3 linked regions of the Macaca mulatta genome follow. The protein of the gene in region 1 interacts with the protein of each later gene in a biochemical or structural test. Links are inferred from orthologs where the notes say so. Each region holds a gene or a part of one and is shown in the gene's direction. Other genes may lie near its edges. The genes, in order: LGALS3BP, LGALS1 and LGALS3.

What was found.
Region 2: the proteins of LGALS3BP (region 1) and LGALS1 form a complex in vitro, tested with the Homo sapiens proteins (2 studies listed by BioGRID). The link is inferred for Macaca mulatta from reciprocal best matches to the Homo sapiens genes LGALS3BP and LGALS1.
Region 3: the proteins of LGALS3BP (region 1) and LGALS3 form a complex in vitro, tested with the Homo sapiens proteins (4 studies listed by BioGRID). The link is inferred for Macaca mulatta from reciprocal best matches to the Homo sapiens genes LGALS3BP and LGALS3.

What each region holds. Positions count from the first base shown.
Region 1 is NC_133421.1:88,656,279-88,666,224, reverse strand, and holds the start of LGALS3BP (galectin-3-binding protein), read left to right. Parts: upstream 1-1,505; 5' UTR 1,506-1,640; exon of another isoform or gene 1,641-1,665; intron 1,666-4,279; 5' UTR 4,280-4,305; coding exon 4,306-4,357; intron 4,358-5,312; coding exon 5,313-5,562; intron 5,563-6,408; coding exon 6,409-6,644; intron 6,645-8,112; coding exon 8,113-8,365; intron 8,366-8,627; coding exon 8,628-9,753; 3' UTR 9,754-9,946.
Region 2 is NC_133415.1:13,847,074-13,858,171, reverse strand, and holds LGALS1 (galectin-1), read left to right. Parts: upstream 1-3,670; 5' UTR 3,671-3,730; coding exon 3,731-3,739; intron 3,740-5,011; coding exon 5,012-5,091; intron 5,092-6,499; coding exon 6,500-6,671; exon of another isoform or gene 6,672-6,992; intron 6,993-7,218; coding exon 7,219-7,365; 3' UTR 7,366-7,393; downstream 7,394-11,098. UniProt on the Homo sapiens protein: Lectin that binds beta-galactoside and a wide array of complex carbohydrates. Plays a role in regulating apoptosis, cell proliferation and cell differentiation. Inhibits CD45 protein phosphatase activity and therefore the dephosphorylation of Lyn kinase.
Region 3 is NC_133412.1:128,275,392-128,285,625, forward strand, and holds the end of LGALS3 (galectin-3), read left to right. Parts: intron 1-1,253; coding exon 1,254-1,342; intron 1,343-3,552; coding exon 3,553-3,718; intron 3,719-6,001; coding exon 6,002-6,157; 3' UTR 6,158-6,214; downstream 6,215-10,234. Other genes in the region: DLGAP5 (disks large-associated protein 5), read right to left, coding at 9,270-9,389. UniProt on the Homo sapiens protein: Galactose-specific lectin which binds IgE. May mediate with the alpha-3, beta-1 integrin the stimulation by CSPG4 of endothelial cells migration.

The sequences.
Region 1 (9,946 bases):
CTGTCCACACGAATCTGAGGCTCTCACCCAGCTGTCTTCTCAGAACTGAGCTGCCTGTCCGCTGCCTGTCCCCTGCCAGCGCTTCCCACCACCCCATGGTCATCGTCTACCGGAAAGGCCTTGTGAGCCCCAGGGGAGCAGATACTGGTGCTCTGATTCCACAAGGAGGCCTCTGGGTCTTCCATTTTACCTGCCTGGATGGCTCAGGACTTTCCCGGGCTCTGGGGCTAAAGATTCGGCATCTGAGTTTTAAAACATTTCCCAGCACTTCTCAGAGGTGCCTTCCTGTCCTCGGCACTCCTGTGCTTCCCTGGCCACTCGGGCAGAAGTCATTAGCGCTGCTGAGAAGGGATGAAGCTGGGGTTTCTGTGCACTGAGGCCCTTAATCCGGATGAGATTTTTTAAACTCCCCACAGCCTGCTATGCCAGTTCTATTTCCAGCTGCATCTGCCCCTGGGTCTTCACAGCTCCTCTGGAGGGGATTAGGCAAACCATGCAGCTGCCTATACCCTCACATCTTGAGGGAAATAGTCATTGAATCTCTGACCTCTGGGCTGGCTGTCTCGGACTCTGAGCTGCCAGGGAACCAGGACTTTCCACCCGGTGGGACTGCCTGGGGGCTTTTGAAATGCCCCTGCCTGTCCCCCACTCCCGGAGATGGTGACTTCCTGGGTCTGGGCATTAGGAGTTTGTAAAACTCCCCGATGATTCTTCTGTCCAGTCCAGGCTGAGAACCACTGGTCAGAGGCCTGGGCACATCCCAAGGCTTGTTCAGAATCACGGAGTGCAAGTGACAGAAACAAAAGAGGCTGCTGATTGCCTCACTGAGCAGGTGAAGCCCAGGCTTGACCACTGATTAGGCCAGTTGGACCCAGGAGCTCAGGCCGGAGGATGCCTGCTTCCCTCTGCTCTGTCCCATGGGCCCCAGCAGCCTGGGCCCACATCCTCTCAGTCGGAAGCCGGCTCTCACCAGCTGGCTGGGCTCACAGCCCCACCCTGAAACCAGTAGTGTGGCCCGGGGGGCCCCGCAGGGCTCAGACACCCAGGCCTTGGGTGGTTGAAGGCCAAGAGCTGGGGGCCGTCTGGGAACCACACAGCCTGGAGTGGGAGGGGGTGCTCCTCAAGGGACAATTGAGGCGCTGGCTTTCAGTGGGAGGAAAGGGAATGGCTATGAGCTGGACAGAGCCATTATGTCACCAAGAGAGGCTCTGTGCCCCGGCACCAGGTGCAGACTGTCTGGGCCCAGAGCCTCTGCTGCTTCCCCTCCCGTCCCCCAAACACCAGCCCCTGGCCAGCCTGGCGGCGTTTCCGACTGAGTGTGGCTGTCAGTCCTCTTGCGGGCCTTGCTCCAGCCAGACTCCCGCCTTGGGCCTCTGCCAGCCCGGCACTGATACCCACGGGCAGAGCTGAGACGAAGGAGAGGGCCCCTGGGGAGTATCCGCAGCAGCCAATCCCAGAAGACATCGATGTCAGGTGGTTTCTAGAAATCGAAAGTAGACTTTTCTGAAGCATTTCCTGGGATCAGCCTGACCACACTCCACCCTGGGAGAGGCTTCTGGGTCAAAGGAACAGTCTGCAGAGGGCTCTTGTGGCTGGAAGTGACGGGGCTGCAGCACAGCCATCGCAGCTGCCCCAGCCAGGTAAGCTGCTGCCTCCAGCTCCCAGGTGGGCACCTCTCTCTCTCTCTCTCTCTCTGTTTTGTTTTTTTTGTTTTTTTTGTTTGTTTGTTTGTTTTTTGTGACAGGGTCTCACTCTGTCACTCAGGCTGGAGTACAGTGATGCTATCTCAGCTCACTGCAGCCTCCACCTCCCGGGTTCAAACGATTCTCCTGCCTCAGCCTCCCAAGTAGCTGGGATTACAGGCACGCACCACCACGTCCAGCTAATTTTTGTATTTTTAGTAGAGACAGGGTTTCGCCATGTTGGCCAGCCTGGTCTCAAACTCCTGACCTCTGGTGATCTACCCGCCTCGGCCTCCCAAAGTGCTGGGATGACGGGCGTGAGCCATCGCGCCCGGCCAGGGCACCCCTCTCTCTACACAGGCAAGTGGGGGTCATGCCTCCCTGTTTGCACATAGGCCTGGAGCTGGGGATCCAGGGCTCCTGAGCCCAGCAACAGTCATTGCTGCTCCCAGGCCCACAGGACCTCTGTGTGCAGTTGGGCAGGTGGCTCACTGCACGAGGATACCAGCCAGAGGGCGAGTGGGTTAGAATCCAGGTTGGCCTCTCTCGGGCCTGTGCATTTGGCCTAGGCCTGCACCCACTCCTAGGAAGAGCACCTTTTTTTCTGATTTGCATGAAGGGGCCAACACAGGCAGCCGGGTCTCAACTCCCCGTATGAAGGAATCAGGCAAAAGTCGCCAGCTGCTGCCACCCAGAGGGCGGAACGCCACCTGCCAGGTGCTTCGTTGCCCGCTTTTTTTTTTGAGACGGAGTCTTGCTCTGTCACCCAGGCTGTAGTGCAATGGCTCACTGCAACCTCTGCCTGCCAGATTCAAGCAATTCTGTTGCCTCAGCCTCCTGAGTAGCTGGGACTACAGATGCGCACCACCACGCCCAGCTTCTTCTCCTTCTTCTCCTTCTCCTTCTCCTTCTTCTTTTGTATTTTTAGTAGAGGTGGGGTTTCACCATGTTGGCCAGGCTGGTCTCGAACTCCTGACCTCAAATGATACACCTGCCCCAGCCTCCCAAAGTTCTAGGATACAGGCGTGAGCCATCGCGCCTGGCCACTTGGCCATTTTTCCAAGGCCCTGAGTTACTCTCCCAGGACGGACAAACCTGGTGGCTGCAGCGGAGTGAAGTGGCTGGGGACAGAAGTGGAGAGGGCGTCCACCCATACCGGCGTGCCTGGGACTGAGGGTTTCCCAGGACACAGGGAAACTTCAGTGCTAAAACAAGCACAGTCCCCAGCACACAGGACAGGCAGTCACACCCTGGTGTCTTTAGCCATCTACTGACATTGACGCAGGGAGGAGAGGTGGGCTCCACCGAGCAGACCCCCTGCCTATGGCTGTGGACGTGGAGCCCATTTACCTCTCTGGGTGTCAGCTTCTTCACTTGTAAGGTGGGGTGTAACTAAGGTGGTTCTCAAGGTCACGGTAAGGCCTCCAGTGGTGCCTGGGGAGCCCTGATAAGGGGTGGCTGCGCAGTGCCAGTGAGCGTGAGTCCCAGAGCAAAGCTCTCACCAGCCAGGGCACCCAGCTCCCAGGGTGCTTGTTCATGCAGACTCCCATGCAGAGGGGCTAGGGCGAGGCCAGCCATGACAGCACTTCCAACAAGCTCTGGCGATGCCATTGCAGCCGTCCACCAGGCCCCCTCTGAGCAGCCTCAAGGTCACCAGGCCCAGACTCCCAGCCGGTGCCCACAGCAGTGCCACCCAGAGGCCTGCCCCTGGCTTGCTGAACTGAGGGGACAGTGTCAGGTGTCACAGGATTCTTACCGAGCCAGAGAAGCCATACCTGTCTCTCCATTGGCAGGGTGTGGGGGAGGGAGGTAGGCGAAGACAAAAGCGTGGAAATTACACGGAGGCAAGAACACCAGGCCAGAAGGCGGAGACCCGGACCTCCCCAACCGCAGCCTGAGTGTCAGTGTCTTGGGGATACTTCAGCATTTCCTCCCCGTTCTTCCCCCAGCATGGCCCACCCTGGGCTGCAGCCCTGACCCTTTTCCCCTATCTTCCCCATCCGAACACCATGGAGCCCCGATGTGTCTCCTTGCTGCTTATCTGTCACCCCGGCCCAGCCTCCGTGGCCTCTCCTGACGAGTCCCCTCCCATCCACTCTGCAGGCTGCCTTTGCCTGCTTAGGCCTCTGGGACAGTCCCTGTGGGGGTCTGTTGCCTGAAGATTAAGGCCCAGATCTTAACCAGGCTCACCCGGCCTCCCGACCTCGGCCTGTGCCCATGGCCTCCTCCCTCTCCACCCTCCCCGCCCATGCCCATGTGGCGGCCTTGCCCGGGGCCTGGTTTTTTGAGATGAGCTCACTTGCCTCTAGTCACCGATTCTTGCTGTCCTTAACTGCCAGGGGGTACCCCCAGCCCACCCCTTCATCTAGCCAAGTCTTACACATCCTTCCAGGAGCATGCTGCAGACCAGGTGAAGGGGCCCCTGTGGGGCGCTTCCATAGCACCCATCACACTTACTGGGACCACAGTGGGCTCTGCAGGAGAGGGATCCCGCCTGCCACACAGCCCAGGTCGGGCTGAAGGGTTAATGGGCAGGCCGGTCCCCGGGCTTCGGGCCACCTGGCTCCCGTGCCTCACTCTGCCGCTTCTGTCTGCAGCAGGATCTGGGCATCCAAGCACCGCCATGGCCCCTCCGAGGCTCTTCTGGGTGTGGTTGCTGGTCGCAGGGACCCAAGGTGAGCTGAGCCCCTGGGAAATGCCAAAAGCAAAAGTCTGTGAGGCTGCTGCAGCCTGGGTCTGTGCAGAGCTTCAAGGAGATGCTCTGCCTGGGGCCCGGGGCCCAGCGGTTAGCCAGGTCTTCTCTCCTGCCTGCGGCACCAGGTATCCCAAGTGATGGTGGCTTGGAGGTTCCAGGGGGCTCACCTGGGCTCAGGTGAGATGCAGGTTATAGATAGGACACTAAGGAGTCCTCCATTCTGTCCAGAGGGAACCAGAGGAGCTGGTCAAACCAGCAGTCACCGGGGCTGTGGTGAAGTCAACGGCCTCGGACGCAGGTCAATCTTCCAGAGGGTCCTGGCTGCTTTTCCTCACATCCTTTGCACTGTGAGCCCCTGGAGGCTCACGCTCATCCTGGGGGCCCCACGGAAGCCAGATGTGCCCCCAGCTAGATTCAGGCACCCAGCTCCTGCCCGGCTCTGTCAGCTCCTATAGGGGCTGGAGTGTCGGCAGGCTGAGTCCCAGAAGGACGTGTGGAGTGGGAATCCCATTCTCTGCCCTGGAAACATTCCGCCTGTGCTCCCAGGGGTCCCTAGGCCTGCGCCCCCACAGGCCAGCACCCCCAAACTGCAGACACCCTCGGGCGGGTCAGCACAGGGCCTCCATTCCCCCACGATCCTTCCCCCGGGGTCTTGCCACCTCCATTCCCAGTGCTTGAGAACCTGGGGCTTCTCTGCCCCTGTTCTGTCTATGGAGTGAAGGGCTGAGACCCCTAAAACAAGGAAAGGCGAGTTTAGCCTCCGTGGGGCAGGGGGCTGTATGTATCTTCCACTCCTCCCTCATGGAGAGGCCAGGGGACCTTGAAACCCTGGAAAAGAAGCTCAGCAGGGGAGACCCAGGACAGCATGGGTCCTGGAGGTGCGGGCGGTGGGTGCCGCAGGCCCCAGCCTGGCCCTCGCTCGTCTCTACCTGCAGGCATGAACGATGGTGACATGCGGCTGGCCGATGGGGGCGCCACCAACCAGGGCCGCGTGGAGATCTTCTACAGAGGCCAGTGGGGCACTGTGTGTGACAACCTGTGGGACCTGACTGATGCCAGCGTCGTCTGCCGGGCCCTGGGCTTTGAGAACGCCACCCAGGCTCTGGGCAGAGCTGCCTTCGGGCAAGGTAGGGCCTGCTGTCCCCGTCCTCCAAAGCCGAGACCCACAGCACAGCCAGCTCCCAGGCAGGGCAAATTCCCGAAGATGAGACAGTCAGGTTTCAAAGACATGCAAATTGGATTACTATTAATTTAGCAAGAGCAAACAAACAATTTTTTTTTTTAAACGGAGTCTTGCTCTGTCACCCAGGCTGGAGTGTAGTGGCACGATCCCGGCTCACTGCAACCTCGGCCTCCTGAGTTCAAGCGATTCTCCTGCCTCAGCCTTCTGAGTAGCTGGGATTGCAGGTACTTGCCACCATGCCCGGCTGACTTTTGTATTTTTTAGTAGAGAAGGGGTTTCACCATGTTGGCCAGGTTGATCTTGAACTTCTGGTGTCAAGTGATCCGCCCGCCTCAGCCTCCCGAAGTGCTGGGATGACCACACCCGGCCTAAGAGCAAACACTTTTGATGGCGCTGAAGCCCTGTGGATCAAGTTCCGGTGGGACTGCGTCACCCACACTTGGCCGGTGACGGTGGCAGGTGCTTGGGCAGGTTCAAGAGCTGGGCTGGGCTTGTTCCCTCCGGCCCAGAAACTCCACTCCAGGAGTTTATCCTCTTGAAACAATTTCCCCTCAAAAGAAAAGTCTGTATGCAGGAAGATTTCCACTAACACAGCAGTTGCAATTCTGGAAAAAAAAGAGAAACAATCCACCAACTATTTTGCAGCAGGGATAGTCACACAAATACAGTATGTGCGCCTGATGTTGCAGGGACAGGCACGCAATTACTGTACATGAACGTGATGTTGCTGCAGGAGCCAGTAAGCTTTGTAAGCATGAAGGCTAAGTTTATGGCCTGACGTTGCAATCACAAACCCAGCCCTTGCTGGAATATCCACCGTGGTTCGCCGGTGAAGGACCTGTACGCAGACGGACCCGCACGGCTGGGGCGCGGAACAAAGGGCTGAGTCTCGCTGTGGGACTCCTAGGTGCAGTCATCACACCCCCAGCCCTGCCATCTGCTGTGTCCACAGGATCAGGCCCCATCATGCTGGACGAGGTCCAGTGCATGGGAACCGAGGCCTCGCTGGCTGACTGCAAGTCCCTGGGCTGGCTGAAGAGCAACTGCAGGCACGAGAGAGACGCTGGTGTGGTCTGCACCAATGGTGAGCACTTCCCTGCGGAGGCCCCAGCGTGCCCTGGGGTCCCGTGGCCCCTGCCCCTCCCGGCACCACCCCCCCACACACGAAGCACACAAAGGTTCCTTCCACTACCACCTGCCCACTCCGCATGGAGAGTCCCGGACGTCCAAAGAGCCCACCAGCTCCCAGTCCCACAGTCCTGGACTCCTCCCCAGCCCCTTCTGGAGAAACGCCCAGAACCACCAAGTCTCCATGCGGAAACCGAGTGTGGGGCAGGGAGCCACAGTCTCAGTGAGCAGGACACCTGGCTGCAGCCCGACCTGAAGTGCCAGCGCCCGCTCGGAAACACACTTCACAGCATGCGACAGGCTCAAGCCCGTCCTGGCGGAGGGAGGCCCGACCACTCGCCGCCCCAGCCAGCTTCCCCCAACCCAGCCCGGTGTGGAGGGAACCCAGGCTGCTCTATGGGTTGGAGCCCCTGGATCTGAGTTTCTTGTGTTTCTTCCGTGCCAAGGTGGTTCTTCCTGGGCTTGCACGGGACAGCCTGGGCACTTCCTGCCTACCGCCCTTTGCCAGGAGCTGGAGGCCCCTAAGGCAGGAGGGGTCGAATCCCAGGGAGCCCCTGTGCCCACATGGGATGGACAAATGACTGGAGCTAAGCCTGGACTCACAGTGCGGGAAGCCCACGAGATGCCATGGGGCTGTCGGGGGCCGGGGGAGGCCAGGCGGAGCATGCGGGGCTGTGGGTGCCGGGCAAAAGCTCCTGGGGCAGGAGAGCTGTGGTGAGGCGTGCAGGTGGGAGGCAGCTGGGGGTCCTGCAGTGGTTCAGGTTTTAGGAGGCCCAGGGCAAGCCCACCTGGTTGAAAGGTCATGGTTACTTCAAATCTATTATATTTGTGACAAAGAAAAAACTATGGGATTTCGTTTTGAGTTAGGCTTTGAGAGGGGCTCAAAGAAGGGGGGAGGGTATACCACACTGACCCCTGACCCGGGAGCCTCCCATGACTTCTGCAGGTCTTGTCCCCCACAGGAGGCTGCTCGAGGACCCCCAGAGTTCTAAAATGGGGTTGCCACAGGACCCTCACTTTTCAGGCCATCTAAGCAGGCAGTGGTTTTGGTTTGAGAAGGGCAGTGTCATTGGTGGTTGATGACTGAGGCTGGGGAGTGGGGCTCCAGAGTCAGCACCACCAAGTCTCCCTGCAGAGCTGCTGCCTGAATCGGGGGAGCAGCACAGAGCAGAGGGCCTAAAGCGGGGGCCTGGACAGGCTTGGCCAGGTCCCAGCTGCTCTTGTTCCCCAGGGCTGGAAGGGGTGGGGCCTCACGGCCCAGGGATCCGACACTTTCGGTCTCTCCTGTCCCTTATCTTCCCAGGAGCCTTCCAGAGTGGATGAGGCAGCCACGAACCCCCCACTTTCAGATGAAGACGCTGCCCCCAGAGAGTGGCAGCGTCCCGGCTCCTAACGTAGCCTGCTTCCCTCCCGCCCCTTCTTAGAAACCAGGAGCACCCACACCCTGGACCTCTCCAGGGAGCTCTCGGAAGTCCTTGGCCAGATTTTTGACAGCCAGCAGGGCTGCGACCTGTCCATCAGTGTGAGTGTGCAGGGCGAGGACGCCCTGGGCTTCTGTGGCCACACGATCATCCTGACTGCCAACCTGGAGGCCCAGGCCCTGTGGAAGGAGCCAGGCAGCAATGTCACCATGAGTGTGGATGCCGAGTGTGTGCCCATGGTCAGGGACTTTCTCAGGTGAGCCGTCTCGTCCTCAGGCTCTGGGGCTGCCAGGGGCTTTGTCCTCCTCCCTGCTTCAAAAGCACACCCACACACACGCACACCTGCACACACTCTTGCATGCACATGTACCGTTGTCACACGTGCGCTCGCGCAGTTGCACACACACGCATGCTCGCTCCCACGCTGTGCACACTCGGGTGGCTGTGTTGGACAGGCAGGCTCAGGGCTCCCCTGCTGTCCTGTGGGGCTGGCATCCACTCTCCCTCTTTCTCCCCAGGTACTTCTACTCCCGAAGGATCGACATCGCCCTGTCGTCGGTCAAGTGCTTCCACAAGCTGGCGTCTGCCTATGGGGCCAAGCAGCTGCAGGGCTACTGTGCAAGCCTCTTTGCCATCCTCCTCCCCCAGGACCCCTCGTTCCAGACGCCCCTGGACCTGTATGCCTATGCACTAGCCACAGGGGACACCCTGCTGGAGAAGCTCTGCCTGCAGTTCCTGGCCTGGAACTTCGAGGCCCTGACACAGGCCGAGGCCTGGCCCAGTGTCCCCACAGACGTGCTCCAGCTGCTGCTGCCCAGGAGCGACCTGGTGGTGCCCAGCGAGCTGGCCGTACTGAAGGCCGTGGACACCTGGAGCTGGGGGGAGCGCGCCTCCCATGAGGAGGTGGAGGGCTTGGTGGAGAAGGTCCGCTTCCCTATGATGCTCCCTGAGGAGCTCTTTGAGCTACAGTTCAACCTGACCCTGTACTGGAGCCACAAGGCCCTGTTCCAGAGGAAGACTCTGCAGGCTCTGGAATTCCACACGGTGCCCTTCCAGTTGCTGGCCCGGTACAAAGGCCTGAACCTCACCGAAGATGCCTACAAGCCCCGGATTTACACCTCGCCCACCTGGAGCGCCTCTGTGACGGACAGTTCCTGGAGTGCACGGAAGTCACAGCTGGTCTATCAGTCCAGACAGGGACCTTTGGTCAAATATTCTAATTACTTCCAAGCCCCCTCTGACTACAGATACTACCCCTACCAGTCCTTCCAGACCCCACAACACCCCAGCTTCCTCTTCCAGGACAAGAGGGTGTCCTGGTCCCTGGTCTACCTCCCCACCATTCAGAGCTGCTGGAACTACGGCTTCTCCTGCTCGTCCGACGAGCTCCCCATCCTGGGCCTCACCAAGTCTGGCGGCTCAGATCGCAGCATTGCCTACGAAAACAAAGCCCTGATGCTCTGCGAAGGGCTCTTTGTGGCAGACGCCACCGATTTCGAGGGCCGGAAGGCTGCGATTCCCAGTGCCCTGGACACCAACAGCTCCAAGAGCACCTCCTTCTTCCCCTGCCCAGCAGGGCACTTCAACAGTTTCCGCACGGTCATCCGCCCCTTCTACCTGACCAATTCCTCGGGTGTGGACTAGATGGCGTGGCCCAAGGGTGGTAAGAACCCGAGAACCCCAGGACGCCCTCACTGCAGGCTCCCCTCCTTGGCTTCCTTCTTCTCTGCAACCACCATCAACAACCGTCCACCAGATGTCCCCCTACTCCCCTGAGCTCTCAGCTTCAAGAAGACTTCCACTCGTGTCCGCCAGGAGTTCTCCCACTGCCTCACCA
Region 2 (11,098 bases), on another chromosome or scaffold:
TAAGTGGGCGCTGCCACCAAGAGGCCCTGAGGACTTGGGGGAGGAGGCCCACGATGCACCTGTGTCCCTGCCTTCCCTCCCCGCCAGGAAAACCACAGCTCCCGTCCCAGGGGACACTGGAATCTGGAGAGACTTCCTGCCCCAACCTAGGCAAGAGGAGACTGTTGGGGACCAATTGGGGATGGCACGTAGACCTCCCAGAGGCGCTGCAAAGACTCGGGGAAGGCAACAGCCTGGCAAAAGCGACAAGAAGGAAGTGAAAACCTTCTGAGCCTCCATGAAGAAACGAATCATCTGTTTTAGTACAACAGACCTCAGTTCCACCCTGTATTCACCTCATGCAAGGAAAGCAGGATTTCATCTCCCCAGTTTACAGATAGGGAGACTGAGGCAAGTGGCAGAAACAGTTTACCAGGAGGCTCTGAGGGGACATAGCAAGCAGGGCCAGCACCTGTGTGTCCAGACTCCCAAATAGGCCTTTCTGGGGTCTGGGGACCTCTTCACCATGCCACCTTGCCTCCCTGCCAGCCCCACTCATGCCGGATGCTGCAGAGGGGTAAACTGTCCCTCCATCCAACAGCAAACACTCCCCAGTGCTGGGCCCATTTTCCAGGGTGGAGGAGGAAGCAGGAGCAGCTCCTGAGGCCACAGGAACCCAACTACTGGGCTGGGCTGGGAAAGTGGCCACACCCACCTGCCCACAGCCCTGCCAGGACCACACCTGAAGCGCCTCTGGCCCTCCATCTAGGACTCTGCCTGAGAGGCCCCATTCCTTGATCTGGCAGAGAGGGGAGGCATGGGAGAGGGGCAGTGGAGCTGGGCTGGGCCATACCCAGCCCTTCCTATGGTTGAGGTTTTGGGGAGGCCAGGAGGAAAAAGTGAAGCTGCTGTGGTTGGTTTCCAAGCAGCCACTTGGTCTGGAAGGAGGGGTAAGGCACTCACGGGGATGCAACCCCATCCCCTCTCTGGGTCCGCCTTGTGACCGTACACACTCCCCTCTCATCCTGTACCAGAGTGGGCTTTGGGCATCTGGAGGAAGGTGCCCCTGGGGGACAGGGTCGGGCAGGGTGGGTTTGCTGGCCTGGCCTCCAGATGTGAGTCACTCCCGGTTGGCATCTTCGTCCCTCTTTGGTGCCAGCAGTTTCAGAAGGAGGATGGCCAGGTGGAGGAGGTCATCCCTGTGACAACCCCCCAGCATGCCCCTCACTTCTCCCAGTGCTCCCCACACCCCTTCCTCCACCAGGTTCCTGAGACCCCTCCAACCCACCCTCAATTCTCTGCCACAGTGATCTTCCCTACAGCCCAGATCTGGCCTCAGTACTAACCCTGGCTCCCCAGCCTCCTCCCGTACAATAATGTCCAAGCCCTGTGCCCAGCCCATGAGGCCTCCATGATCCAGGTCCTGATGGCTTCCCAGCCTCATCCCCGTCTTTCCCCTACATGCCCGGAACACTGTTCCCCAGCCCTGGCCTTCCCATTCCGGAGCTTCTGCCCATGCCGGAAAGCCAGGCGCTTCTCCGCCTACCCTTCACGACCCACCTCCTTTACTCATGCAGCCACCAGCCCACCATAGCACTTTCTCATGGCTTCCCTTAGAGCCATCATCATCTACTTCTTCTTCTTCTTTTTTTTTTTTTTTTTTTGAGACCGAGTTTTGCTCTTGTTGCCCAGGTTGGAATGCAATGGCCTGATCTTGGATCACTGCACCTCTGCCTCCTGGGTTCAAGTGATTCTCCTGCCTCAGCCTCAGAAGTAGCTGGGATTACAGGCATATGCCACCACGCCCGGCTAATTTTGTATTTTTAGTAGAGACGGGGTTTCTCCGTGTTGGTCAGGCTAGTCTCAAACTCCCAACCTCAGGTAATCTGCCCGCCTCGGTCTCCTAAAGAGCTGGGATTACAGGCATGAGCCACTGCACCCAGCCCATCATCTACTTCTCAACGTGGTTGTGGTAAGATTCCACCCCAACCATGCGCTCCTTGAGAGTGGGGACTGGGAGGGGTTCATCTTTGAATCCTGAGAGCCCAGGGCCAGGCACATAGTAGGTGCTCAGTAAACACCTGCTGAACACTCGGGGAAAGGAGGGCTGTGCCAGGCCTCAGAGGAGAGATGTGAAGAAAGAGGACAGGGTGGCCAGGCATGATGGCTCACACCTGTAATCCCAGAACTTTGGGAGGCCGAGGCAGGTGGATCACCTGAGGTCAGGAGTTCCAAACTAGCCTGGCCAACAAGGTGAAACCCCGTCTTTACTAAAAATACAAAAATTGGCCGGGCATGGTGGTGGGGGCCTGTAGTCCCATCTACTCAAGAGGCTGAGGCAGGAGAACCTGGGAGGCAGAGGTTGCAGTAAGCCGAGGTCATGCCACTGCACTCCAGCCTGGGCGACAGAGTGACACTCCATCTCAAAAATAAATAGATAAAAATAAAAAAGAGAGAGGACAGGGTGCTGTCATGCACATCCATGTAAAGAGACCACCAAACAGGCTTTGTGTGAGCAACATGGCTGTTTATTTCACCTGGGTGCAGGCGGGCTGAGTCCGAAAAGAGTCAGCGAAGGGAGATAAGGGCGGGACCGTTTTATAGGATTTGGGTAGGTAAAGGAAAATTACAGTAAAAGGGGTGTTGTTCTCTGGCAGGCAGGAGTGGGGGTCACAAGGTGCTCAGTGGGGGAGCTTTTTGAGCCAGGATGAGCCAGGAAAAGGAACTTCACAAGATAATATAATTGCTTAAGGCAAGGGCTGGCCATTTTCACTTCTTTTGTGGTAGAATGTCATCAGTTACTGCAAGGCAGGGCATTTGCACTTCTTTTGTGATTCTTCAGTTACTTCAGGCCATCTGGGCATACGTGCAAGTCACAGGGGATGCGATGGTTTGGCTTGGGCTCAGAGGCCTGACAGGTGCACAGAGCTAGGACCCCACCCCCTCCTGGCCTGGACCACCCTGGGCCATCTCCCCAGCTTGACACTCAGGCCAGAGGCTGTCAGGCCAGGGCGCTTTGACTATCCCCTGCATGCCCCTGAAGGGGGCCAAGCCCGAGGACTTAGCCAAGCCCTGCAACCTAAGGCTTGGCGTGCAGCCCAGCCTTTCCTTAGCCTTAGCTAGGAGCGAGCAAGCGCTGCAGCAGCCGCAGTCCTTGCTTCCGGGGAAGGCCCGGGTGGCGCCAGGGCCTGTGGTTTAAGTCGGTGGCCCTCTGCAGACGCGCACGCAGGAGCCACGCCCTGGTCCCTGCCCTGGAGTGGCCTGGTCTCTCCCAGCTCTGATTCCTTGAAGGACCCTGCACCTCCTCAGCCATCTTCTCTGGGCACCCCCTGAGCTCAGCCTGCTGGCCACAGGCCCCTTCCCGCCAACTCGTGGGCCTAGCTCATCATCAAACTATTTTCCATTGGCTTCCCCCAATCTCTGCCACAGCACAATTTCGGTGGTGGCGGGGCAGGGGGAGGTGGAGAGGGATGAAGAATAGGAGGTGGAGCTTGGACCCTCGTGGGGGGGCGGCAGATGGCCACTCTGATTGGTCACCTCTGCTCCAGAACTGGCTTCAAAATTCCACGGACTCCGCCCTCGGTGGCCCCCAGCCCTGTCCTGACTTGCAATTGGCTGAACTTCCAGGGGGCGGGGCTCACCCGGTCCGGTCCCGTTAAAAGGGTGGGAGCGTCCGGGGGCCCATCTCTCTCGGGTGGAGTCTTCTAACAGCTGGTGCGCCTCTCCTGGCAACATCCTCCTGGCCTCAATCATGGCTTGTGTGAGTGTGGGGACCCCACCCCAAGGTCCAGGGGATAGGGCAGGAGCTGATGGCCGGAGGAGAGCTGGGCAGATCGGGAGCAGGGTTCTAGCCCCAGCTGTGTGGCCTGGAACCACTGCCTTCTCTTTTCTAGACCTCAGTAGCCACATCTGTAAAATTGGGGTGGGCGCCATGGTCCCTCAAGGCCTTCTCTGCATTGATAATTGTTTGGATTCCTCCAGGGTCTGAAAGCACAGTTATTTCTGCCCAGGGTTGACATTCTGCAGCTCTCTGAGTAGTGAGCGTGGGAAGGGTGTGGCCAACTGGGGGACACCCAGGCCACTATATCTTTCCCCCTCCTCCACCCCAAAAAGCCTCCCGTCCCCTCCCCCCTGCAGCTGTCCCAGTCACCAGGCCCGGGCAGAGTCACCCTCTGCTCCAGAATACGCTGAAAAGTCGCCAGGACCCGAGACAGGCTGCCCAGGATGGGCCTTTCTAGGTCGGGGGTGGAGGGTGGTTGTGTCCAGGCTGGTGGGAGGGAGGGGAGCCGGGGAAATTCCCTTCCACCACCCCCAAGCTGGGAGGTTGGGGTGGCAGGGAGGTGAGAATCTTCCTCGGGCCCCAGGGAAAGGGTTCAAGTTTCTGACAGAAGAAACCACTCAAATCAGTTAACTCTTGCCCACCCACTCGGGGTGCCAGGGAGCAGCAGTGCGCAGCAGTTTTCTCAATCTTGTTAACCCTGAACCAGCCTGGCCACAGCCCGACTGCAGGCCACTCCCTAATGCAGAGGGGCCGTGTTCTTCAGGGTCTCCTCTCTAGCCCCTGGGCCTCTTCGCAGAGAGGAGCTTGAAGGAGAATAGTAGTGTCCCCCTAGCCACTTCCTCTCCAGCAGAGGGGTCGACCCCTGCATTCAGTGTGACTGTGGGCCAACTGCCTGCCCCTCCCCAGCCTGATCCTCTCTATCTGCGATGGGACAGAGCACCCCACCTCCCAAGCCACTCTTGAGTTCAAAATCCCCAGGCCAATCTGCAAAATCTTCTAGAGCCTGTCTTCTAGAACCTGATTCACATTACAGATTGAAGCCAACCCTGTTGGGAATAGGGACTTTTCCAGGACCACACAGAGAATCAGAGGCTAGAAATCACAGCCCCATCCTGTCCCCAGGCTTCCCCTTGGCTTGGTCAGAGGATGCCGGGCGGGAACAACCCCACTCCCACCCCCAGCCACCCCCGGACACTTCGGGTAGTGGAGGCCTTGTCCTCTAACCTGCTGGGCCGGGGCTTGTCTGTGCAGGGTCTGGTCGCCAGCAACCTGAATCTCAAACCTGGAGAGTGCCTCCGAGTGCGGGGCGAGGTGGCCCCCGACGCCAAGAGGTGAGAGGTGAAGTCAGGGTGGTGGGCGGCAGGGATGGGGGCTTGGTCCAGCCGAGAGGGCGTGGCCGGCCAAGTCCACGTCTCCTCCCTGGCCGAGAGTGGGTTAACGGCCGGCCGACGTTGCTGCGCTTTCTGGGTGACTCACTTCCCCCGCGGGGTCTGGGCGCCCCCACCATTGCCGCCCCCTCCCCCGCTCCCTCCCTGCTGTAGCCTCTTAAACTACAACAGCTGCAGCCTCGTCATCTATAATACCTTGGTTCCCCCGCCCCCACCCCTTTCCGGTCTGGGCGGGGCCTGCATCTGGGGAGGGCGGGGAGAAGAGTGAGGCGGGAGTCACCGCCGCCTTCCCTCTGAGTCCCTCCCTCCTGCGTCAGGTCATTCATTCACTGGCTCAGTCCTGTCCTTCTTCCTTCACTCCTCGTTCACTCAGCCGGCTGCCTTATTTTCTCAGCAGCTATGTGACCTTGGACCAGTCAACCAACCTCACCTAGCCTCATTTTGTTAGAAAAACAAGGGGGGGGAGGTGGTTGTGTGGAGGAAGTGAGATGCCGATGGTGTAGTGATGATGAGGAGGGTGAGGATCGGCTGATATTGTTAAGAGCTGATATTGTTAAGAGCCGTACACTTCTCATGCACTAATTTCATTGCAACCAAACCCTCAGAGGCAGGTATAGCTATTATCACCACTAAACAAATGCATTTATTATTTTATTTTTTGAGACGGAGTCTCACCCTGTCCTCCAGGCTGGAGTGCAATGGCTTGATCTCGGCTCACCACAACCTCCATCTCCTGGGTTCAAACGATTCTCCTGCCTCAGCCTCCCGAGTAGCTGGGACTACAGGTGCCTACCACCACGCCCAGCTACTTTTTGTACTTTTAGTAGAGATGGGGGTTCACCATGTTGGCCAGGCTGGTCTCGAACCCCTGACCTCATGATCTGCCCACCTCGGCCTCCCAAAGTGCTGGGGTTACAGGAGTGAGCCACCGTGCCCAGGAGTATTATTATTTGTTAATTCACCCCATAATTACTAAGCATCTCCTTCTGGTGTGCCCCACTTGTGCTGGGCACCAGGAACACAGATGTACAAGACAGGACGTGAAGTTGCCATCTGGAGGAAGTCTCTGACCTTGACCAAAAGGGCTAGGACGCTAGTGACTTCAAGAATCTAGCAAGTCCTCCTGTGCAGCCCCCATTGTACAGATGAGCAAACAGGCAAGGAGGGGCAGGGACTAGCTCACGTTCACACCGTAAGCAGCTGTCAGGGCCAGAGCTAGAATCCAGGTTTCTTGTCTCTGTTAGTGAGTTCTTCAAGCAAAGTGTGTTCGTGGAGTACTGAGTGACAGATTAGTCAGTCGGTGGGGCTGGAGCTGGCCGAGGTGGCCTCACACCCACCCATTACCCCCCAGCTTCGTGCTGAACCTGGGCAAAGATAGCAACAACCTGTGCCTGCACTTCAACCCTCGCTTCAACGCCCACGGCGACGCCAACACCATCGTGTGCAACAGCAAGGACGGTGGGGCCTGGGGGACCGAGCAGCGGGAGGCTGCCTTTCCTTTCCAGCCTGGAAGTGTCGCAGAGGTGGGCTGCGGACCGGAACCGGGACTAGGGACAGGGGCTGGGTGGGCTGGGGCGGAGCTGGGTTAGTGACTAGAGATCTTGGCCTTGCCTGCTCTCTTTCTCCTCCTCTTCCCTCCCTTCCTGTGTGATGACCAGTGTCTGCCCCTCTTGGAACCTCAGTGGTTAATTAGAATAAAACAAAAGAAAAAAAAGCCTGGGCTCGGTGGCTAATGCCTATAATCCCAGCACTTTGGAAGGCCTAGGCGGGCGGATCACCTGAGGTCGGGAGTTCGAGATGAGCCTGACCAACATGGAGAAAAATACAAAAATTAGCCAGGCGTGGTGGCGCCACTGCACTCCAGCCTGGGTGACAGAGGAGACTCCGTCTCAAAAAAAAAAAAAAAAAAAAATCTGTCATAGGATTAGAGTAGAAAGAAAGAAAAAATATTATAAATGCACCTCCGTAGGCTCAGCCACAAACTGGGGCTGTGTCAGGGCCACATGAGGAACGGGTTCTGGAAGGGCCCATGGCCTGTGGGCCTGGCTCACTGCTCTCCTGTACCCCCAGGTGTGCATCACCTTTGACCAGGCCGACCTGACCATCAAGCTGCCAGATGGATACGAATTCAAGTTCCCCAACCGCCTCAACCTGGAGGCCATCAACTACATGGCAGCTGACGGTGACTTCAAGATCAAGTGTGTGGCCTTTGACTGAAATCAGTCAGCCCATGGCCCCCAATAAAGGCAGCTGCTTCTGCCCCCTCTGAACCAGCCTCATGTGTGTGTATGTGTTTGTGTGTGCGCACGCATGTGTGTGTGTGTGTGAGAGAGAGAGAGAGAGGGGTCCCCCACCTCCAGGCCTGCCCCCTTCCTTCACTTCCATTTGCTTTGTCCACGGGTACCTCCTCAGTTCCAATGATGTCTTCCGCTGGGTCCCCCAGAGCAAGCACAGAGAGTCTGACACACAGTAGGAGGGTCAGTGACCACTGAATAAAAATCAGTCCCTGCCCTGAAACTGCTTTTAGCCTAGTGGGCCCTAGAACACAGCAGATGCTCAAAGGATGTTGTGTAAATGACATCAAGGGGGAAACAGGCAAGGACAGACCACTTCATGTGTGGTGACGGGACAGAAGACAGAGAGGTGGAGGGAAGAATACGAGACCCCTCATTTGCCTTCATGAGGTAGAGATGTGGAGTCAAGACAACATGGGGTGCCAGCTGTGTGGCCTTGTGCATGTTAACTGACCTCTGTGAGCCTCAGCTTATTCCTTTATAACAAGGGGGATAATGCAAACAGCCTATCAAAGAGTTGTTCCAAAGATCAGTCGCTTCTTGGCCTTCTGGCTGAGATCAAGTGGAGATTAAATGAGGTGTTGCATGAAAGAAGCCAAGTTCAACACCTGCATATGGCAAATACTCAGTGGTTGGTGGTTTCCCATACCTCGTGCACAGCCTTTTTTTTTTTTTTTTTTAAGAGATGGGGTCTTGCTATGTTAACCAGGCTGGAGTGCAGTGGTTGCATACTGCAGCCTCAAAGTCCTGGGGTCAGGCAATCCTGCCTCAGCCTTCTGAATAGCTGGGACCACAGGTGTGCGTCACTGCACCCAGCTCCCTGCACCACTTTTGAAGTGCTATTACTCCAATCTGAAGGTGAAGAAATGGGCTCTGATAGATGAAATGACTCCCAGGTCTGTACCAGGCCCAGCTGAGCCTGTGGAGCTCCCCAGGGATCCTGTCTGTGGGCTTGGGCCATGCACCCCACTTAGCTAGAGTGTATGGGCAACCAAAGGACTAGTCTGGAAGCTGCCGGCTCTCATTCCTGGGCAGATGCCCCCACCCCAACAATGGGAAAGTAGGTGATGACCCTGGCACCCCATTGCCAGCCCCTGTTTCTGTGGTAGGAGGAGCTGGGGTTGGGGGCTCCATCAGCCCCTGCAGAGAACCAAGAGGTAAAAGCCAGCCAATATGAGGCCCAGCCTCCAGACTCCCGCAGCCTCCTCCTCAGGGGACAGAGTAGGGGTGACTCACCCAACCTGAGATGAGGTCTCCATGAACCTGTTCTCCTGGTTTCCAAAGATGATGTCTCCTCTAAGACCAGCCCAGGCTGTTACCTTGGAGGGTAATGCTTAACCCAATCCCATGCACCCACCCATCACAACTGATGGGGCCTGAGTGGACAGCTGGGGTGCCCTGCACACTGAACACTTCCCTGCACCTTTTCCTTCCTGCCTGCTGCTGCAGTCACATCTTCCCAGGGCCCCTACCTCCCTGGGAAACAGCTGCAGGAACTGAGCCAAGGTACAGAAGGTTAGAATCATTACTGGGCTCCCCCATAGCCCCAAGGCACAGTCTCCTGAGGCATGGTGTGTGGGTTGGGGGGTGGGGAGCTTGGCAAATCTCCCTTTCTAGGGCAACTGGCACCAGCTGTGACTAGGTCTCTTATACACCCAGCCTCAGTTTCCTCATCCATAAAATGAGACCCATCTTGGGTGGATGATTCCCATCTCAGTGGGTACCCTGGGACCTAGGTGGGAGCTGGGGACACGCACCTCTCTATGAGAGGTCAAAGAGGATGGAACACACAGGCTGAGAACTCCCACGAGCCACACCCAATCTCCAGGCTCTCCTGGGGCTCCCAGGTGGCCACCCAGAAACAGCTTCGGAAGCCTGGCTGCAGATGGAGCGCCCTCTGCTGGACATTGGAGAACACGTCCCCTAGGCTGCCCTGCCTGGTCCTCAGTTCACCCACACTGATTCTCCCCTACACTGGCTGACACTCACAAGACACTAGGACTGGGGCCACAACTGGGCAGAGGAAAGTCCTGGGACAGGTAAGAGAGGCCACTGGGTGTGGAGGAAGGAAACCCAGCTTGGCGTCAGACAGACCTGTGTTTAAACCCCAGCTCTGTGGCTGTGTGCCCTTGAACCAGTTATTCAACGTCTCTGAACCTCAGTTTCCTCATCTGGCAAACTTTGTTAAGACTGCACTAGTTGGCCAGGCATGCTGGCTCACACCAGCACTTTGGGAGGCTGAGGTGGGTGGATCACAAGGTCAGGAGTTCGAGACCAGCCTGGCTAATATGGCAAAACCCCATCTCTACTAAAAAATACAAAAATTAGCTGGGCGTGGTGGGGGGCGCCTGTAGTCCCAGCTATTCAGGAGGTTGAGGCAGGAGAATCACTTGAACCCGGGAAGTGGAGGTTGCAGTGAGCCGAGATCGTGCCACTGCTCTCAGGCCACAGAGCAAGACTCCGTCTCAAAAAAAGAAAAAAGAAAAAGAAAAAGAAAAAAAAACAGGTGTGGTGGCTCACGCCTGTAATCCCAACACTTTGGGAGGCCGAGGTGGGTGGATGACCTGAGATCAGGAGTTTGAGACCAGCCTGGGCAACATGACAAAACCCCGTCTCTACTAAAAATACAAAAATTAGGCCAGGCACAGTGGCTCACGTCTGTAATCCCAGCACTTTGGGAGGCCGAGGTGTGTGAATCACCTGAGGTCGGAAGTTCAAGACCAGCCTGACCAACATGGAGAAACCCCGTCTCCACCAAAAATACAAAAAATTAGCCAGGCATGGTGGTACATGCCTGTAAATCCTAGCTACTTGGGAGGCTGAGGCAGGAGAATTGCTTGAGCCCAGGAGGCAGAGGTTGCGGTGAGCTGATATTGTGCCATTGCACTCCAGCCTGGGTGACAGAGCGAGACTCCGTCTCAAAAAAAAAAAAAGAAAAAGACTGCACTAGTGTTGACTGGGTGCGGTGGCCGACACCTGTAATCCCAGCACTTTGGGAGGCCAAGGCAGGAGGTTCATTTGAGGTCAGGCGTTCGAGACCAGCCTGGCCAACAAGTGAAACCCTGTGTTTACTAAAAATACAAAAATTAGCCGGGCATGGTGGTGCATGCCTGTGGTCCCAGCTACCGGGGAGGCTGAGGCAGGAAAATCACTTGATCCTGGGAAGAGGAGGTTGCAGTGAACCGAGATCACGCCACTGCATTCCAGCCTGGGCGACAGAGCGAGACTCTCTAAAAAAAAAAAAAGAAAAAAGATTAGCTGAGGTGATGTATAGAAATGCATGGTGCCTGGCATGCAATACGAGTTTGGTGAGTGTCGGCTGTCTTCACCCCTTTTAAAGTTCTGTGTGTCCCGAGGGCCTAGGAAACTGGGTCCAGATAAGTTAAGTCAACCTCTGCCCTTAGGCCACCTGCTCCCCACCCTCAGAACCTGTTCTTGCCTGTGTGACCTCGGACAAGTGACTGCACCTCTCTGAGCCTCAGTTTCCTCCTCAGTAAAATGTGGATTGTACCTCAAAAGAGATCATCATGAGCCAGGCACAGTGGTGGGCACCTGTGGTTCTAGCTACTCATGAAGCTGAATAGGGAGGATCGCTTGATCCCAGGAGTTTGAGACCAGCTTGGGCAACATAGTGAGACCCTCATCTCTATAAGTAA
Region 3 (10,234 bases), on another chromosome or scaffold:
AAGAGCTAAGTACCAGTGTGGGATTAGACCATTTCAGAACTATGCAGAAGATGGCACAAGATAGCATTGTCTCCTTTTAGGTCGGTTCAGAGTAGAAAGACTTGGGGGAGTGGGTGGCATTGAGATGGGCCTATACCAGAGATGGTTAGTCAGTTGCAGAGAGAGGGGGACATGAAGGCTGTGGAAAGGAACAGGCAGATGTAAGAGAGATGACAGAGGAAGAACCCCCAGAACCTACTGATTATGTCTTAGAAGACATAGAAGACTGACTTTTCAAGGCTGAGCAATTAGAGCCATCAGCAAAGCTTTAGCCCAAACTGGGAACTCATGAAGGGGAACTGATGGGGGAGGGGGAGGGAAGACCATTCTAGTTCACACTTGTTGAATTTGAGGCACTAGCAGCAAATCCAGGTGGGAAGAAGTACAGGACTAATACACATCAGGACTAGAAAGAAAAGATTTGGATAGGCTGGCTGTGGTGGCTCATGCCTATAATCCCACCACTGTGGGAGGCTGAGGCAGGAGGATCACTTGAGTCCAAGAGGTCGGGGCTGCAGTGAGCTATGATCACACCACTGCACTCCATCCTCAACAACAGAGACCTGGATTTTTGAAACCTTGTCTCAAAAAATGAAAAGGCTGGGGTGATAGTTAAACCCAGAGGGAAGCCTTAAAAAGGGAAAGAAAAGAGGCCATAAATAAATAGAGCTTTGGGGATATTCACAGTACCTTGAATGTAGATGGTCAATAAACATTTGTGGAATGAACCTCAGTTTTAACAGTGTTCATTCTATAAATATTGAGTATCTGCCACGTGCAAAGCACTCTGCTGGAGCCATGTGAGTACAGACCATATGAGAACCCACAAGCCCAGTATGTGATATGCTGCTTGCCCCCAGGAAGCAGAATAACCACAGTGAAGCAAGTGACATGACAGGGCCTTAAGAGTGATACAAAAATGTTAATGTTGATCACAAGATCTAGCTTAAGCCTTTCCAAAAAATAGCCAACATGAATGAGTAGATTGGGATGGCCATAGTAATGAGACTTACTGATGGCTTTCTTTTCAATTATTTGTACATGTAAGGAGCCTTATCTCTTTGGCCCCTGGGCAAAGTGGCCTGAGAGTCTGGACAGATGGCATATACTAGAGTTATGTGTTTTTCACACATATTAATAGTAATGGAACTTCAGCAACATCGTTTTCTTTCCCTAAAGAAACATGACTCCCATATGTACTTGTTCATTCCCAGTCTGTGCCTTATAACCTGCCTTTGCCTGGAGGAGTGGTGCCTCGCATGCTGATAACAATTCTGGGCACGGTGAAGCCTAATGCAAACAGGTAAGGAGAGCAAAATTAACAAGCCTACCCTATTTGTAGATTGGTTTTTGAATAAAGAATGGCCTATTTTGATTTTTTTTTTCTTGCCCTGTCTTACGGTGCTATTTTGAATTTTAATAAAATTTTTAAAAACTACATATTTAGAATCTTGGCTATACCATCATATAGGATTATCCCATAAATCCGTACATATTCCCATATAATTTTGCTAAGCATCGGGGCACTCATAGTAAATGGTAACACACCTTATTCTATACTTTGATATGTATTATGTCAGCTAATCTCCATGGTTGAAGGCAGGATAAGGAATATTGCTTTCCCCTTTTTATAGACAAAACTGAGGCTCAGGTTCTACAGATGATCAGTGGTAGGCCTGGGAACCCGTCTTTTGAGTAGATACTATTTGCTTATGGGTTTGAAGAGATTCTTCAAGTTAAAAACTTCATCATAATAAATCAACCTTTGCTATTGGAAGTGGTTTGATTGATGAGGTGGGCTAGGATGGGGTGAGGCTTTATTTAGGAAAATACATGCTAATTATGGCTGTCCTGGGCCACTTGGCCCTGGTTGTCACCACTGGTTATGTAGTATTTACATATTATACAAAGAAGCTGGCCATGTCCTGAAACCATCCGGGATGCTTGCGCCTGAGGTTAGTGGAAGAATCTCTAGGTCTTATGAACAGTACCTAAATGGTACAGATTCAAGCCATGTACACAGGTTTATGCAAGAATCCATAAACAGTCTCAGTGTCTGTCACCTTGCTCCACATCCTGCCATCAAGAGATGGACTTCACTTCTGATCTGATAATTTCACATTGAAATGCTCATTCGCTCCACCTCAGCCAGCCTCCCCTGTTTCTGCAATGGTAGTCACTATCCTAAGCCAACCCATCTTTCCACACAGCCTAGACAATTTCTGTAAGCACAGAACTTCCCCATACAATAATGCCCGTCTCATAGCAAATTACAAAATATATATATCCTCTATGTCCTTATCCGTATTTCCTCCCAACATCACATAGAACCCAGCACACCTTATCCTGTGCACACAGCACTCATGATTAAATATCTGCTCTCCTCCTCCCACAACCCCTAATGCACACTGAATACCCAGTGTGGTATCCTTGTCTTGTTAGAGTCATTTCACTGGAAAGTTTAGCTCTAATGCTAGAGATGTAGATTGAGACTGGCAGATCAAAACTAATTCTGGTTGAAATGGTTAATGGTAGTAAACTAAAAAAACTGTTGCTTAGTCCTACAAATTCTATATGACGAACTGCATAGAAAAAAAAAGTACTTAAGGTGACAGAGATGACAACATTGTATATTTAGTCAAATACAAATTCTATTGCTGTTTTTTCCTTACAAGTTTAATCACTGGAAGATCATTTGTGGTTGAATGTGACTTTTACTGGGTGAATCAAAATACAGAGAATCTTTGTTAGTTGGTCTCGAGTGCAGACCTGGCTTTAAAATAAGAATACCTACTGATGATTCTGGTGTTACTGCTCTATAGAGCACACTTTGAGAAACTCAGGGATGGGGTTAGTCAAAGAGGACTTGTGTTTGCATTAACATCCAGGGAGAAGGAACAGGGTCAAAAAGCTAAACTAGCAATTTCATTGGTTCCAGCTCACATCATAGAATGTTTACCACATTTACTATCATGACTTTACAACTTAGCAACAAGATACTGAATATTAACTACCTTATCTCATCCTTGCTGTTTTAGAGGAACTAGGGCTTCTGGTTAATTACGAGGAAGCCAGGCATTTGATGGCTGTTAACTATATAGCTGGCTTGCCTTTACCAGGTATTGAAAGCAAACTGGAAGAGCAGGAAACATTATCTATAGTAAGGGATAAAGTATCCTCAGAGTGGCTCTAAACCTCTGTAAGAAAACCTCGAAGGGTTTTCATGAGTCTGTAAAGGAGGCATTACAGATGAATGGAAATATGATCGAAGACAATGAGGCAAAAAAAATTCAACATATATTGTCTTGCTTACCTTTAGATTTTATGATAGTACATAGAATATCAGGTGTAGGATACTTTCCAGTTTGAACCCATTCTGATTTGCTTTCTGTTCAGAAAAATTTCCTAGGTACTGTATTATGAAATTATTTGCTTTTTAGAAAATTATATTCTTTACTTCGTGTAGATATACAGTTTTAATCATTTTAATAACTGGTCTTTGGTTTAAAACAGAATTGCTTTAGATTTCAAGAGAAGGAATGATGTTGCCTTCCACTTTAACCCACGCTTCAATGAGAACAACAGGAGAGTCATTGTTTGCAATACAAAGCTGGATAATAACTGGGGAAGGGAAGAAAGACAGTCAGTTTTCCCATTTGAAAGTGGGAAACCATTCAAAGTAAGTTATTGCTACTATTATATATTGATAATGTGCATTTCTCATGAGGAATCACTCTAAAACCACAAAGCACTTGAAATGAGTTTTTATCACCTGTCCTAAGGTGCCTAACCAGTGTATCTTCTCCCTGCCCAGGGGACCAGGCTCAGCAGGCTGAGAACATGGCCAGGAGTGGCACACTCCACACTTCTTTCAGGCACCTCACCAGCATCACTGCTGCCACCCTTCTGAGTTTAAGCCTTTCTAGAGATGAAAATAATATAATCTTTAACAAAAAAGGCAAAAGTCTTTATGGTACAGTTGTACTGCAACTTTGTTGCTTAAAACAACACAGTTGGGCTGGGCGCTGTGGCTCACGCCTATAATCCCAGCACTTTGGGAGGCTGAGGTGGGCGGATCACAAGGTCAGGAGATCGAGACCATCCTGGCTAACACGGTGACATCCCGTCTCTACTGAAAATACAAAAAATTAGCCGGGCGTGGTGGCGGGCACCTGTGGTCCCAGCTACTCGGGAGGCTGAGTCAGGAGAATGGTGCAAACCCAGGAGGCGGAGCTTACAGTGAGCCGAGATCAGATTGTGCCACTGCACTCCAGCCTGGGTGACAGAGCGAAAAAAAAAAAAAAAAAAAAAGTTGGCATAGAGATCAAAACTACATGTTTTTTATTCTAAAATTAAAGTTTTATGAAAAGTTTATAAATTTTAAAATTAACAAGGTTTCCTTTCCTTTACTCCTTCCCCCATCCTCACAAAAGATTGCAATTTGATGAGTATCTTCCTAGTGTTTTCTGACATACAGCACGCTTTTTATTTGTAAGCACTGCTTCAACAAATATTAGGTCCACAGCATTGAGTTAGGGTTGACTATAGAGTGGTAAATAAAACAGCTGGACTGTAAACTCTTCAACAACAGGGACAAATAAGGACCATAGTCTACATTTGGTGGACATCTTTTCATATCAGAATATTGTTACTTAATAGCATTTTTTTTTTTTTTTGAGATGGAGTCTCGCTGTCGCCAGGCTAGAGTACAGTGGCATGATCTTAGCTCACTGCAACCTCTGCCTCTCGGGTTCAAGTGATTCTCCTGACTCAGCCTCCCGAGTAGTTGGGATTATAGTTGTGTGCTACCATGCCCAGCTAACTTTTGTATTTTTAGTAGCGATGGAGTTTCACCGTGTTGGCCAGGATGGTCTTGACCTCTTGACCTCGTGATCCACCCACCTCGGCTTCCCAAAGTGCTGGAATTACGGGCATGAGCCACCACGCCCGGCCAATAGTATTTCATTTTTAGATGTGATAATTTAACTAGTACCCTACTGATATAAATTTACAGAATAGAAACACTCCAACCTGGAAATGTTTTACTAAAATACTGTAATAACTATCCTTACAAATATTTTCTTCCTAGAAGCAAATCTTCTAGAAATCTTTGCTTTAAAATATGTATGTTTACAATTTAGATATTATCAAATTGCTGCTTCCAAAAAGATGTAGGAATGAACATCCACTATTGGAAGAGTAGATTTCTCCTACCCTTGCCAAAACTGATTATCACCAATCTTTACAACATTTGCCAAAAGAATCCTACTTTTGTGTTTTTCTTTCAGGTGTTTTAGGCCATACCAGAACTTTTGGTTGTTTTGAGACAGAGTCTCACACTGCCACTCAGTCTGGAGTACAGTGGAAAGATCACAGCTCACTGCAGCCTGTCAACCTCCCAGGCTCAAACGATACTCCCACTTGAGCCTCCTTAGTAGCCGAGACCACAGATGTATGCCACCCACGCCTGGCTAATTTTTTTATTTTTATTTTTGTAGAGATGGGATTTCACCATGTTGCCTGGGCTGTTCTCAAACTCCTGGGCTCAAGAGATCTGCCTGTGCCTTTGCCTCCCAAAGTGTTGGGATTACAGGCGTGAGCCGCCACACCCAGGCTCTTTTAAGTTTTTATGCAGGCAAATCCTTAGCCTTCACCTTTATGGCTTCACTTATATATCCTTGTAATAAATTTGTGGCTTTTAAAAAAAATCTGAATAACTTGGAATTTTTGCTGTAAAGTTACTTTCCCTGGATCTTAACTGGTCCCACGAATGATAAGGATGAAATGTTGGACATCCTGAGTTCAGGCCAGACTGGTTTGAAATTAATGGACTTTTTTTTCCTTTCAGTTGACAAAAAATTGTTTCTATCATGTACATGAAACATGTATATATTGTGGAATGGCTAAATCCAGCTGACATATGCATTACCTCATGTAATAGTTTATGTATATGCCATTTCAGATACAAGTACTGGTTGAATCTGACCACTTCAAGGTTGCGGTGAATGATGCTCACTTGTTGCAGTACAATCATCGGGTTAAACAGCTCAATGAAATCAGCCAACTGGGAATTTCTGGTGACATAGACCTCACCAACGCTTCATACACCATGATATAATCTGAAAGGGGCAGACTAAAAAAAAAGTCTAAACCTTACATGTGTAAAGGCTTTATGTTCACTGTGAGTGAAAATTTTTACATTCATCAATATCCTTCTTGTAAGTCTTAATAAATATTATAGTGAATTACCTGTCTCAATATGTCACTTAATTGGAGTGGTTTATTCTCGATAATGTGCAATGGAAAAAATATGCAGCAATATTAATACTGCATTGGGGCCTCAAGGTTTCCTATACTTGTTAAAATCTTTTTCTTAAGGAAAGAAAGTAAATACTACCTCAAGATTCTCTCTTCCAGAATTTCATTAAAATCAGGAGATGTTCCAAGGAAATTATTCTGTCATTTTCTTAAGGAAATATGTTCAGGAAATGAGAATAGCATTAAGAAAAAGTTTACCTATAGATGACCTATAGACAATTATTGTTAGGATTCTGGTGTATTTCTTGACTGCTTTTTAATCTCATTTCTCCTTCTAAACTATAGTTTGCTGCTTTCAGATCAGTAATTTGATATCAATAAAGGAACATCTCCCTGGTTTTTATGAAATCTCTTACAGAGAAAAAAGGTATCTTATATAGTCAGCTTTCAAAATTTAATTGTTCCCATCGTCAACATTCTTACCCATGCCTTTCTACCCTTATTAGCAGCAAGCCCAAAGATTAATAAAATTCCAAAACTAGGATGTGGCAAAACCACTTCATCTTATAGAAGACCAAATTTTTTTTTTTTTTTTTTTTTTTTGAGATTGAGTCTCGCTGTCACCCAGGCTGTAGTGGCGTGATCTCAGCTCACTGCAACTTCCGCCTCCTGAGTTCAAGCAATTCTCTGCCTCAGCCTCCTGAGTAGCTGGGATTACAGGTGCCCGCCACCATGCCCCGCTAAGTTTTGTATTTTTAGTAGAGACGGGGTTTCACCATTTTGGCCAGGCTGATCTTGAACTCCTGACATCATGATCCACCTGCCTTGGCCTCCCAAAGTGCTGGGATTACAGGCGTGAGCCACCACACCAGGCCCAAAATATTTTATACAATACTACCTTTTCACATCTGTTAAATTAGTAATTGTCACAGGTTGGGTTTCCCAGGAAGCAGAGAGATTAGATCTCAAGAGGCTTGTGAGGGAGTGTACTTGCAATCAGTACATGTGGGGATGGGAAAGACATGATTGGGTTGAGGGAGAAGTTGAGCAATAACTTAGCCTACCCTATGGGAGTTCTGAAGCTGGGATTCTTCAGAGCTGCAAGGGGGCCAGGCCTTTTTATACCCCCACTTTAATCAGTCACTGACTATAGGACAGCTGGGAAAGAATGTGACCTGAGATAACATGGCTTTCTTCAGCTGACACAGCACAGTCCTCACAAGGGATGTTAGCTGAGGGCTGCTGCCAGCAGCACTTCCTGCACCTCAAGGAGTAAGTCCTCTATTGCTAAAGAGGGATGTGGGCAGCATATCATAGCATATTCCAAAAAATTCCTTACCCCAACATTTGGGTCTTGACTTCTACTCTTATTAAATAAATGGAAGAACATAGCTTTGGAGAAAAGAGAGAACTTGGTTTACACAAAATTATTTAAATCCTCTGAGCCTTGGTTCCTTTGTCTATCAAATGCACAGGTCTTATAGAGTTACTGTAACATTAAGTAAAATATTGTTTGCAAAGGGACTGTCAAATAGTAGGTCCTCAATAAATAGCAATTCCCATTCTATTTTGGTAGAAAAGAACTTTTTTTTTCCTCTGACAATACACTGCATTAAGAACTCTTGCTCTGTCCAAAACAGTTTTCTTTCATTTTGTCTCTAAAAATTTTCCTAATACCTCATAATTCTAGACTCCAATAGCCAAGCACGTTATCTAGTAGGGGACACTGATGGTTGCCTACCCAATATCTATTCCTTGTTTCCTAAGAGCCAAGGTTTTATTCAGGTGTGATCCCAGATTCAACAGGGAATTCTGATTCATTTAAGTCAATCCCCTGCTGGCTTACTGATCTGCAGATGGGGATGTGGCATTAGTTGGTCTAATCAGGCCAAAGGGAAGAACATAACTCTAACTGCCAATAGCAGCCATCTTATGACCCCAAAAAGACCCAGCCGTAGAGGAGAAGCCGACATCAAGGATAACAGAATGAACTAGGAACAGAAAGTTGGACCTTGATGTGATCACTGAGCTATTGATTATAAAGTACCTGGAATCACTTTGATAACTTGTGAAATAATAAATTTCCTTACTGTTAAGCCAGTTCGAGTCCATTCCTTGTTTGAGTAATTCAAACAAGCCATGTAGGAAAAAGAAATATACATAAACTAGGGTTTTCTAATGGCCCAGGGCCATGAACAGCTGAAAGCTTTCTAAACAACTCAGTGATACATCTTATTAAAGATCACATTTACTGACATTGTCTTATTCTGATCTGCTTTATTTTTGAGAGCAAAATATTGTTGTGTCGCATATTGCTTTGTATTAACTGTAAATCTTGGGTTTCTTTGTACCAGTTTTTTAAATGTTCATGTGACTGATATGTTATATGATTGACACGATTTTTTTCAAAAGTAAAAAGCATCTCCTCAATGTCTCTTGGGCATGCCAATGGGAAAATGAAAACAAAAAGGCAAGGACTTAATGGGTACCTCTAATGATTGAACTGTTTGAAACCGCAGCATGTCAAACTGACTTCGGAATCCAGAAAGCTCATGTAAAGAAACTCAGAATACTATGGAAAAATGTAATACCCAAAGCTGTTCAATGTCAACAAATTTAGGATTTCAAACTAAGAATAAAGTGTAAAAAGATGCAAATACTTCTGTCACAGGTTAATATTTCAATTAAACTAAAGAATGTTTATAAGCGCTAAGTATACTTAGCCTTAAGCTTATTCCTTTCAAACAAGAGAGGCAAGGCACAGTATATTTTTTATTCTGTGTTGAAAATGTACAAAATATCCCCACTTCCCTTGAGAAAGAGTATATCTAAAATACACTTTGATAAACAGAGTATTAAAACATTATATGATACTATAGAAGTGAACACAAATACATTTTCTCCAAAATTTCAATAGTCTAAAGAATATATAAGCATTGATAATGTGAAGGAAAATGGATTTATTTTTAAATTCAAAATTCTCCTTGTAGAGGTGAAAAAGTAATCAAGTTACCACCAAAAGAAATGTGTCTGGCATGCTCTTGATGTCTCCTCTCCAGCTGAGTAAATGGATTACTGCACTGTAGACCTGGCTGGAGAACAAATCCAGAGAAGTCAGTAAAGTATCCATCACGAGTTTCACCAAGTAATTCTTCAACATTGCTATAGTAAATTAATAAATAACATAAATAAACCGGGTGCGGTGGTGCACACCTGTAGTCCCAGCTACTCGGGAGGCTGAGGTGGTAGGATCACTTGAACCCAGGACTTCAAGACCAGCCCGAGCAACATAGCAAGATCCCATCTCAAAAACAAACAAAAAGAAACATGTAAATATTTTCCCTATATAACAATAAAATTATAAACAACAATGATTATGCTACTTTCCAGCAGATCTTATTTCAAATGTATATTAGTTATTTTTAAATTGGAAAGGTATATTCAGAATATATGTATAAAAATGTGAATAATATGTAAATGGACTCAACCAGTGTATGCAGAATGAATAAAACTGAGGCCATATCTTAAGCCACTTACACAGATTCCATAAATCCTAAACCATATAATAGCACTTAATAGCCCTTTTACTACTGTGTGATCCTGCTGAGATCTTTTTACTCCCTCAAGCCCTGCTTCAAGTTCAAATTATGCTACTGGGGCAAGCAATAATTTGGGTCTAAAATAGACATCTAAATATTAATATTTACAGAAGTGAAAAAAATCAGACTAAATGATAAGGTACTAAGATCTATCAATGAGAAAACATAATTGTGATGTACTTTTAATCACATTACTAATATATTAAAATATTATGATTTGGTAATCTCTGGATTTACTTATAACAACATATATTCTCAGAATCAATCATTCAGAGTTTGATCTGGGAACAGGGTTAAATCAGGTTTACATAAGTTGGCCTTATTCTAAAAGCCCTGAT